Linked DNA regions of Sus scrofa. The protein of the gene in region 2 binds, or shares a complex with, the protein of the main gene of each other region. Links are inferred from orthologs where the notes say so. Each region holds a gene or a part of one and is shown on either strand. Other genes may lie near its edges. The genes, in order: DYDC1 and ROPN1L.

Evidence for each region.
Region 1: ROPN1L (region 2) and DYDC1 share a complex: the UniProt entries of both Homo sapiens proteins name them as parts of the axonemal radial spoke complex. The link is inferred for Sus scrofa from reciprocal best matches to the Homo sapiens genes ROPN1L and DYDC1.

Annotation. Positions count from the first base shown.
Region 1 is NC_010456.5:82,190,500-82,194,314, reverse strand, and holds part of DYDC1 (DPY30 domain-containing protein 1), read left to right. Parts: intron 1-565; 5' UTR 566-588; coding exon 589-735; intron 736-1,474; coding exon 1,475-1,576; intron 1,577-3,815. UniProt on the Homo sapiens protein: Functions as part of axonemal radial spoke complexes that play an important part in the motility of sperm and cilia. Plays a crucial role during acrosome biogenesis.
Region 2 is NC_010458.4:42,017-46,413, reverse strand, and holds the start of ROPN1L (ropporin-1-like protein), read right to left. Parts: upstream 3,116-4,397; 5' UTR 2,978-3,115; intron 2,652-2,977; 5' UTR 2,608-2,651; coding exon 2,477-2,607; intron 859-2,476; coding exon 735-858; intron 1-734. UniProt on the Homo sapiens protein: Functions as part of axonemal radial spoke complexes that play an important part in the motility of sperm and cilia. Important for male fertility.

The DNA.
Region 1 (3,815 bases), on a different chromosome or scaffold from region 2:
AGTGGAGCCAGAGCATGAAGAGCTTCATGTGCTAGTCTTTGAAGGTTTAATTTTTTCTTATTTTTTGGCCTTAAGGTATGTGGACTTTTTAAAACTTTAAGGTACTATTGTGATATTTTCTAGAAACATCTCTCAGGGGTTGGGAGGAGCATCTTAGTAAATCATTTAGGGTAACGACTCTGGAATCAAGAGTTGGGTGTGATCCCTGTGCATCATGTGCCACCTGGGCTGTTCACTTATTCTCTTTGTATCTGAATGCGAGGATTAAGTGAGCCATCACTTGCCATATAGCCATTTCATGGTCAATAATGACAGTATCCCTTTTCTGACTCTTGGAATCAAGGATCCTTCAGGATTTTGAAACTATTTTAGTTGTAGCAACTACTGTGGAACATTTTTGGAAAATGCTAGAAGTTCCCCAGAGCCAGCTTGCTTGCGCCATCCCTAATGGCAGGTTCCCATGACTGGTGACAGGATATGCTGCTTGGTTGGCCTTACTTGTCTCTACTTTGATTGTGCCTTCATCAAAAATCTCCTGCACTAATGCAAAATGTTTGTCCTTTAGAAGTTTTTACTTAGCAGTTATAAATGGAGACGGAGTATCTTCAAAAGAATCTTGGGACATGTCTAACTCAAGGGCTTGCAGAAGTGGCAAGGATGCGGCCAGTGGATCCAATAGAATATTTGGCATTGTGGATTTACAAGTATAAAGAAAATGTGACCAGGGAGCAACTGGTAAGTATGGATCTTTTTTCCTAAAATTAGAAGAGTAAAATAATTGGTCCAGCTTCTTCATTTTTTATTAAAGCTTGACATTATCATTTCTTTCTGTTATAAAAATGGTATGTTTATTACATGAACTTGGACTACCTGAAAAAGTGAAAGTAGAAAAATGAAAACAAAATACCTCTATTTAGGAGTTCCTGTCGTGGTGCATCGGAAATGAATCCGACTAGGAACCACGAGGTTGTGGGTTGGATCCCTTGCCTCACTCAGTGGGTTAAGGATCCAGTGTTGCCATGAGTGTGGCGTAGGTTGCAGACATGGCTCAAATCTGGTGTTGCTGTGGCTCTGGTGTAGGCCGGCAGCTATAGCTCAGATTAGACCCCTAGCCCGGGAACCTCCATATGCTGCAGGTGCTGCCCTAAAAAAAGACAAAAGACAAAAAAAAAACAAAAAACAAAAAACTTCTATTTAGATTTTTAAGTATTTTTAGATATTCTAGTCTTTTTTCTACGTGTTCATGTTAAGATTTTTTAAACGTAATTTGATCATATTCAATTCATAATTTTAATTTTGTGCTCTTTGTTCAAATAAAACACACATTTCCCAAAATTATTATGCAGTTTCCAAATGGACAGACTATAATTTGTTTAATCCTTTCCCTGCTGTTGGAGATTAACATGCTTTTAAGAATGTTTTCAAAAATTGTTTTACCTGATGTCACATGATGTTGTTTTTAAAACAATGCTAGAGACAAGAGGAAATGGCCCAGTTGGAGCATGAAAGACAAATAGCTCTGATGGAGCAGGAAATGATGGAGAGACTTAAAGCAGAAGAGCTCCTATTTCAGCAGGTGAGACAAAAGAGTTCAGTGGTGACTGGAATTGGTGGTGTCAGCCTCTGTGTGGTGCAACCCGAGTGCTGAAAAACTCATCTCTGGTTGCTTAGATGTGGCTTTCATGTATCTTCATCCTTATGTCTCTCTGTGTTTCTTTGCTGGAGAAGCAGAAGCAGTGGGGTAGGAAGAAAATCCAGAGAGTGAGCTGTCACAGAAGCCAACGGGACAATGTCTCATTGAGACCCGAGTAGTCAACCATGTCTATGGCTGGTCCAGTGAGATCAGAACCTGCCAAGTGCTCATTAAGTCCACGGGTGACCTTGGCGGGAGCAGTGTGTGGGGGCTGGGGTTAAGCAGGGGAGATAGAAATGGTGGCTGTAGATAATGTTTTCAAGATTCTCAGAGAAGGAATTCTGTTTGTTTGTTTGTTTTTTTTTTTTTTTTCCCCTTAAGGAACAGAGTGGGAGGGGGAGTGGTTGAAGTAAAGAAATAAAGTGGATTATTCTTAAAGTTAGCTTTACATGGAGATCAGAAAAAGTTGGGTCTGAAACATAGGTTAGGCAGGTGGAAGACCCTTCTTTGATTCAGGAAAAGAGGAGAAGATGTAGGTACATGTGATGTGTAGGTTTTATGGCACAATTTTTTTTTTTTCTTTTTATGGCCATACCTGTAGCATAGGGAAGTTCCCAGGCTAGGCGTCAAATCAGAGCTGCAGCTACTGGCCTACACCACAGCCACAGCAACACTGGATCCTTAACCCACTGAATGAGGTCAGGGATCAAACCCACATCCTCACAGACACTGTGTCAGGTTCTAAAGCTGCTGAGCCGCAATGGGAACTCTTTGTGGCACAAAAATTTTTTGTTTGTTGTTTTGTCTTTTGGGGCCACACCTGTGGCATAGGGAAGTTCCCAGGCTAAGGATCGAATCAGAGCTACAGCTGCTAGCTTATACCATAGCCACAGCAACACCAGATCCGAGCTGTGTCTGCAACCTACACCGGAGCTCACAGCAACACCAGATCCTTAACTCACTAAGCGAGGCCCGGGATCGAACCCATGTCCTCATGGATACTAGTTGGGTTCGTTACCACTGAGCCACAATGGGAACTCCCTACTTGTGGCCCAAAATTGAAAGCAGTTTCTTTTTTATGAAGTAGGGAGCATGATCATCTGCTCACAATGAGGTGGTGAGTAAGATAGGAAGTGTGGAGAGAGGGGTGAAGGGTTAAAACGGTGGCTTTGGAGAAGTCCAGTTGACCAGGGAAACTTCACATCCCTTGGTAGCACTGAATTCCCTGAGAATAAGCAGTCATAATGGGGCCTTTTGGCTTGGTTTTGTGATTATGTGGTTTTCTTCACTCAGGCTTAGATATGAATGAAGAGGTGGAACAGGCAGACCCTTTGACTGAAGTGAGTTTGGGTTAGCAGGATTGGGGTGCTAAAGATGTTGCTATGAGAATGGTTGAAGAGGTAGGTCATGGAGTGTAAACCAAATAGGGGAAATTTCTCAAATGGCTCTGGACTAATTTAATTTTTTTCTTTTTTTGTCTTTTTGCTATTTCTTTGGGCCGTTCCTGCGGCATATGGAGGTTCCCAGGCTAGGGGTCGAATCGGAGCTGTAGCCTCTAGCCTATGCAAGAGCGACATGGGATCCGAGCCGTATCTGCAACCTACACCACAGCTCACGGCAGTGCTGGATCCTTAACCCACTGAGCAAGGGCAGGGTCTGAACCCGCAACCTCATGGTTCCTAGTCAGATTTGTTAACCACTGCGCCACGACAGGAACTCCTGGACTAATTTAATTTATGGAGAGCTTCTAAACCAAGTTCAAGCCTCCCGTTTATTCCTATTGTACACTACCTAATTCTACAGTCTCAACTCCAGTTTGTATGTTATAGAAAGAGAAAGAAGCCTATTATTTGGCTGTGTGGGTAAAAAAGAAAATGTAAACATGGAAAATAGCTTCTTTGTCTTACTTCCCATCCTTGATACTGGAATAGGATAATTCAGACACCTTAGGTGGATTTGGCTGTCAAAGAAAGCCTTTGCTGCTGCTTTTTTAGTCACTGGGCTTATTTTTGTGGGGAAATTGCATAGCATTGAGTTGGATGTCAAACAACCACCCAGGTAGTCAAGTATCTGCTGCAGTCACCCCAGCTTTTTTTTTTTTTTTGTCTTTTTAGGGCTGCACCTGTGGCATATGGAGGTTCCCAGGCTAGGGGTCAAATCAGAGCTGCAGCTGTCAGCCTAT
Region 2 (4,397 bases):
TCACATGGCAACACCAGCTCCTTAACCCACTGACTGAGGCCAGGGATAGAACCTGCCACCTCTTGGTTCCTAGTTGGATTCATTTTCGCTGAGCCATGATGGGAACTCCTTAATTTGGTATTTAAAAGAAATTCTATTTCAGTATAATCATGAATAGCATTTTTTTTTTTCTTTTTAGGACCGCACCCATGGCATATGGAAGTTCCCAGGCGAGGGGTCTAAGTGGAGCTACAGCTGCCAGCCTACACCACAGCCACAGCAACGCCAGGTCCGAGCCGAGTCTGTGATCTACACCACAGCTCATGGCAATGCCAGATCCTTATCCCACTGAGCAAGCTCAAAGATTAAACCAGCATCCTTGGAGTTCCCGTTGTGGCTAAGTGGGTTACAAACCCAACTAATATCCATGAGGATACCGCAGGTTTGGCCCTGAAAAAGCAAAAGAAAGAAAGAAAGAAAGAAAGAAAGAAAGAAAGAAAGAAAGAAAGAAAGAAAGAAAGAAAGAAAGAAACGCATCCTCACGGATGCTAGTCAGGTTCATAACCCACTGAGCCACAATGGGAACTCCTATTTGGGGTTCTTTAAACCAGAGAAAGGCCACTGAATACAAGATTCCTTCTTTGAATAAACTTGGAGGTTTCCCAAAGGGAAGCAGGGCTTGTATGGATGATGGGGAGGTTTCTGCCAAGCTTTATCTCAAGTTCATCTGACTGATGACAAAGACAATCTTATACCTGCTTGTGCAAAACTTTAAGGAGTCCTTGAGTCAGGCCTGTGTCTGTTTTCTGAGTGGCCATGGGCATTTCAATTCTGTCCTTTACAGGAAGTGGATCTCCTCTTGACAAAGCTGAAAAATACCTGACAACGACATGCATTGCTGAAGGCTCATCTGTGCATCCAGCTGACTTCATGCACTTTCATCAGTGACCTCAGAGGGAGACAGTGATGACGGAGGACTGTGCTAGGTCCCTGGCCCAGCCCCTCTACTCAACTGACTTAACATTCTCCACATGCCTCAGTTTCTCTGTCTGCAGAGTGGGGAGAATGGTGGCCCCTGTCTCAAGGCCCCCATCTGCACTCCTGGGGGTCTCACGACACATGCTAATCTCATCAAGTAGATGCCACTAGAGGTCCTGAGATGTTGCTAGAGGAGGTGGAGGTCAGGGCCCCATGTGACCCAAGTGCAAGGGCATGGTCCAGTAGTATCATTTTGACAGCTGGGGACTTGGCCCTGCTTCTCGAGGGGCTTGATTTCAAGCATCTCTGCCTATTCGGGTCTCAGGCACTCAGAACAGGGAAGTCACCTGTTTGGCCAACTCAGGGCCAACCTCCCCTACTCTTCACCTTTCCTGCCTGGTATTTTTTTTTTTTCTTCAGTATTTTCCCACTCAATCATTCCTTTCTGGGACATGGATATTGGTGCTAATACTAGGAAGAAGCTGGGACACAGAGAGAGTCTGGGGCAACAAGACAGGAGGGGGACAGGACCCCGGGGGTCTGGCTGGAGGGTGAGGGGTGCCAGGCAGGGTCTTCTGGAAGCTCACTCTCTGTGGGTGCATGCAGCTGAGAATGGCTGCTGAAGCCACATCATTTGCTGCCCTCACAACCTTACCACTGTCAGAGAAATGCCATATCCAGGAAAATAAGGCACTAAATCATCCAGGGCTACCAGTAATAATTTCAAAGATACAAGTAGTTAGAAAACATCTCTGAACATGTAACAAAATGTAGATCAATAGATATTTGATGGACTAAAAGAAATTTTATATCTCATCCCCTTTTTCTCTCTCCACCCCCTCAAATTCAACTTTCACGCTCTTAGGACAAGTTCAGACATATTTTGTTAACTTAATGTCTGTTCCTAGAAGCAGAATGTTTGTTGCAATAAACTGTGACGCTCATATGCTTGAACTAAGCTGGGCAAAGTTTAACTTTACAGCAGCCTTGGGATGGTTACTTGACATAAACTAGTCTTTCTGGTTCCAATAACCTCAAAAGGTACTCAATCCTGGAGGATTTTCTGAAGACAAAGAATATAACCATAAGATTCTTCCTTGTAAAAATCATTTCACAAATAAAGGGACTGTGATAGTTCGAGTTTATAACACAAGGCAGAAACTTTTTACCCAATGTAACTGTTTTATAAATTTTAGTCTACTTGCATAAATATCACTCTCCAACAATAGAGCTGCCATTGCTTTGTAGATAAATGGGCATTTTGCAGTAATTTCTGGTCTCGTGGTCAATAAACCACGACGCTTCCTAGATAGATACTTAGGTGTAAATACCAAAACCACTGGTACCTACATTAGGTGTATGGTATCTACAATACTATATTAGGTGTAGATACCAATGCTAAAAAAGGTTTTGCCGGTACTCAGGGTACTGAGCATTGTCCAGGAAGGAGGACTCACTAGGCACGACTGGGCAAAGGGGACCAGGGGGCTCTCCAAGGTCCCAGTCCGGTGGAACTTACCCCGCGGACCACTGCAGCACGTCGGCGGGTTGGGTGCGGATCGCAGCCTTGGTGAACTGCTTCAGGATGTCTGGCAGTTCCGGGGGAATGTGGATCTGCTGTGCGCAGAACATGGTGTCGGGAAGCGGCATCGCTCTCCGCAGACCAGGACCAGGCTGGAAAGAATCAAGGTGTGCTGCGGAGGGAGAAAAGGCTGGTTGGCCAGCCCAGGACACTCGGAGAGACGCGACGGCCAGGGGACCCAGGGGCCGGGCCAGAGCACGGGGTCCAGGGTCCCCAGTTTGAAGCCTAGTGGAGGAAGAGGGTCTGGGGCGGGGCTGGGCGGGGTCCGGGATCTTGAACCAGGCCGGGGGTGGTGCGTTTAAACCAGGCCAGGGCAGGCTGCCCACCTTTCCTCGGGTTTGGAGGGGCCGGGGACCGGGGCTGGGCGGCAGTTTTGGGTTTGAGGGCAGGCCAAGAGGCTGGCTTCCTGAGGCGCCGGCAGCCGGCGAAGGCTCTTACCCGCTCCTCCGGTTCCTCGGAAAATGAGGGCCAACCGCTGGTTCTAGCGCAGACCCAGCAACTGGGCAGCAAGCCACCGCTATTGTTTCGCAGCGGTATCCAAGCAACCAAAACATGTGCGGGCTCCACCCCCTGGAGCCGCGCACGCGCACAAATGGTGGAGCAATGCGCTTGCGCAGTCTGGTTTCGCAGTCCTTTCCTTTACCTCGCTGTAGGAGCAGAACGTTTCACTTGAAAAGGACTTTTTTTTTTTTTTTCTTTTGATTAATTTAATTTTATTGGAGTAAAGTTGACTTACAATGGTGTATTAGTTTTAGGTGTATGGTAAAATGATACAGTCATGCATATAAATATATCCATTCTTTTTTCCCATATAGGTTCTTACAAACTACTGAGTAGATTTTCTTCTGCTACACAGCACGTTCTCGTTGCATCTCTTGTTTTTCTTAATTTTTTTTATTACTCAAATGAATTTATCACATCTGTAGTTGTATAATGATCATAAAAATCTGATTTCACAGGATTTCCATCCCACAGCCCAAGCACATCCCCCCACCCCCCAAACTGTCTCCTCCGGATACCATAAGTTTTTCAATGTCTGTGAGTCAGCATCTGTTGTGCAAAGAAATTCCGTCTGTCCTTTCTTCAGATTCCACATGTCAGTGAAAGCATTTGATGTTGGTGTCTCATTGTATGGCTGACTTCACTTAGCATGATAGTTTCTAGGTCCATCCATGTTGCTAAAAATGCTGATTTCGTTCTTTTTCATGGCTGAGTAATATTCCATTGTGTATATGTACCACATCTTCTGGATCCACTCCTCTGTCGATGGACATTTAGGTTGTTTCCATGTCTTGGCTATTGTAAATAGTGCTGCAGTGAACATCGGAGTACATGTGTCTTTGCGATAGATGTGTTTTGTGTTTTCTCTGGATAGATGCCCAGGAGTGGGATTGCTGGATCCAATGGGAGTTCTATGTTTAGTTTTCTGAGGAATCTCCATACTGCTTTCCACAGTGGTTGCACCAATTTACAATCCCACCAACCGTGTAAGAGGGTTCCTTATTCTCCACCCCCTCTCCAGCACTTCTTGTTTGTAGACTTTTGGATGATGGCCATTCTGGCTGGTGTAAGGTGGTACCTCAGAGTGGTTTTGATTTGCGTGTCTCTAATAATGAGTGATGTTGAACAACTTTTCATGTGTTTCTCAGCCATCCGTATGTCTTCTTTGGAGAACTGTCTGTTTAGATCTTCCGCCCATTTTTTGATGGGGTTATTTGTTTTTTTGGTATTGAGCTGCAGAAGGTGTTTATAAATTTTGGAGAGGAATCTCTGGTCAGTCGATTCATTTGCAAAGATTTTCTTCCATTCTGTGGGATGTCTTTTTGTGTTGTTTAGGGTTTCCATTGCTGTGCAGAAA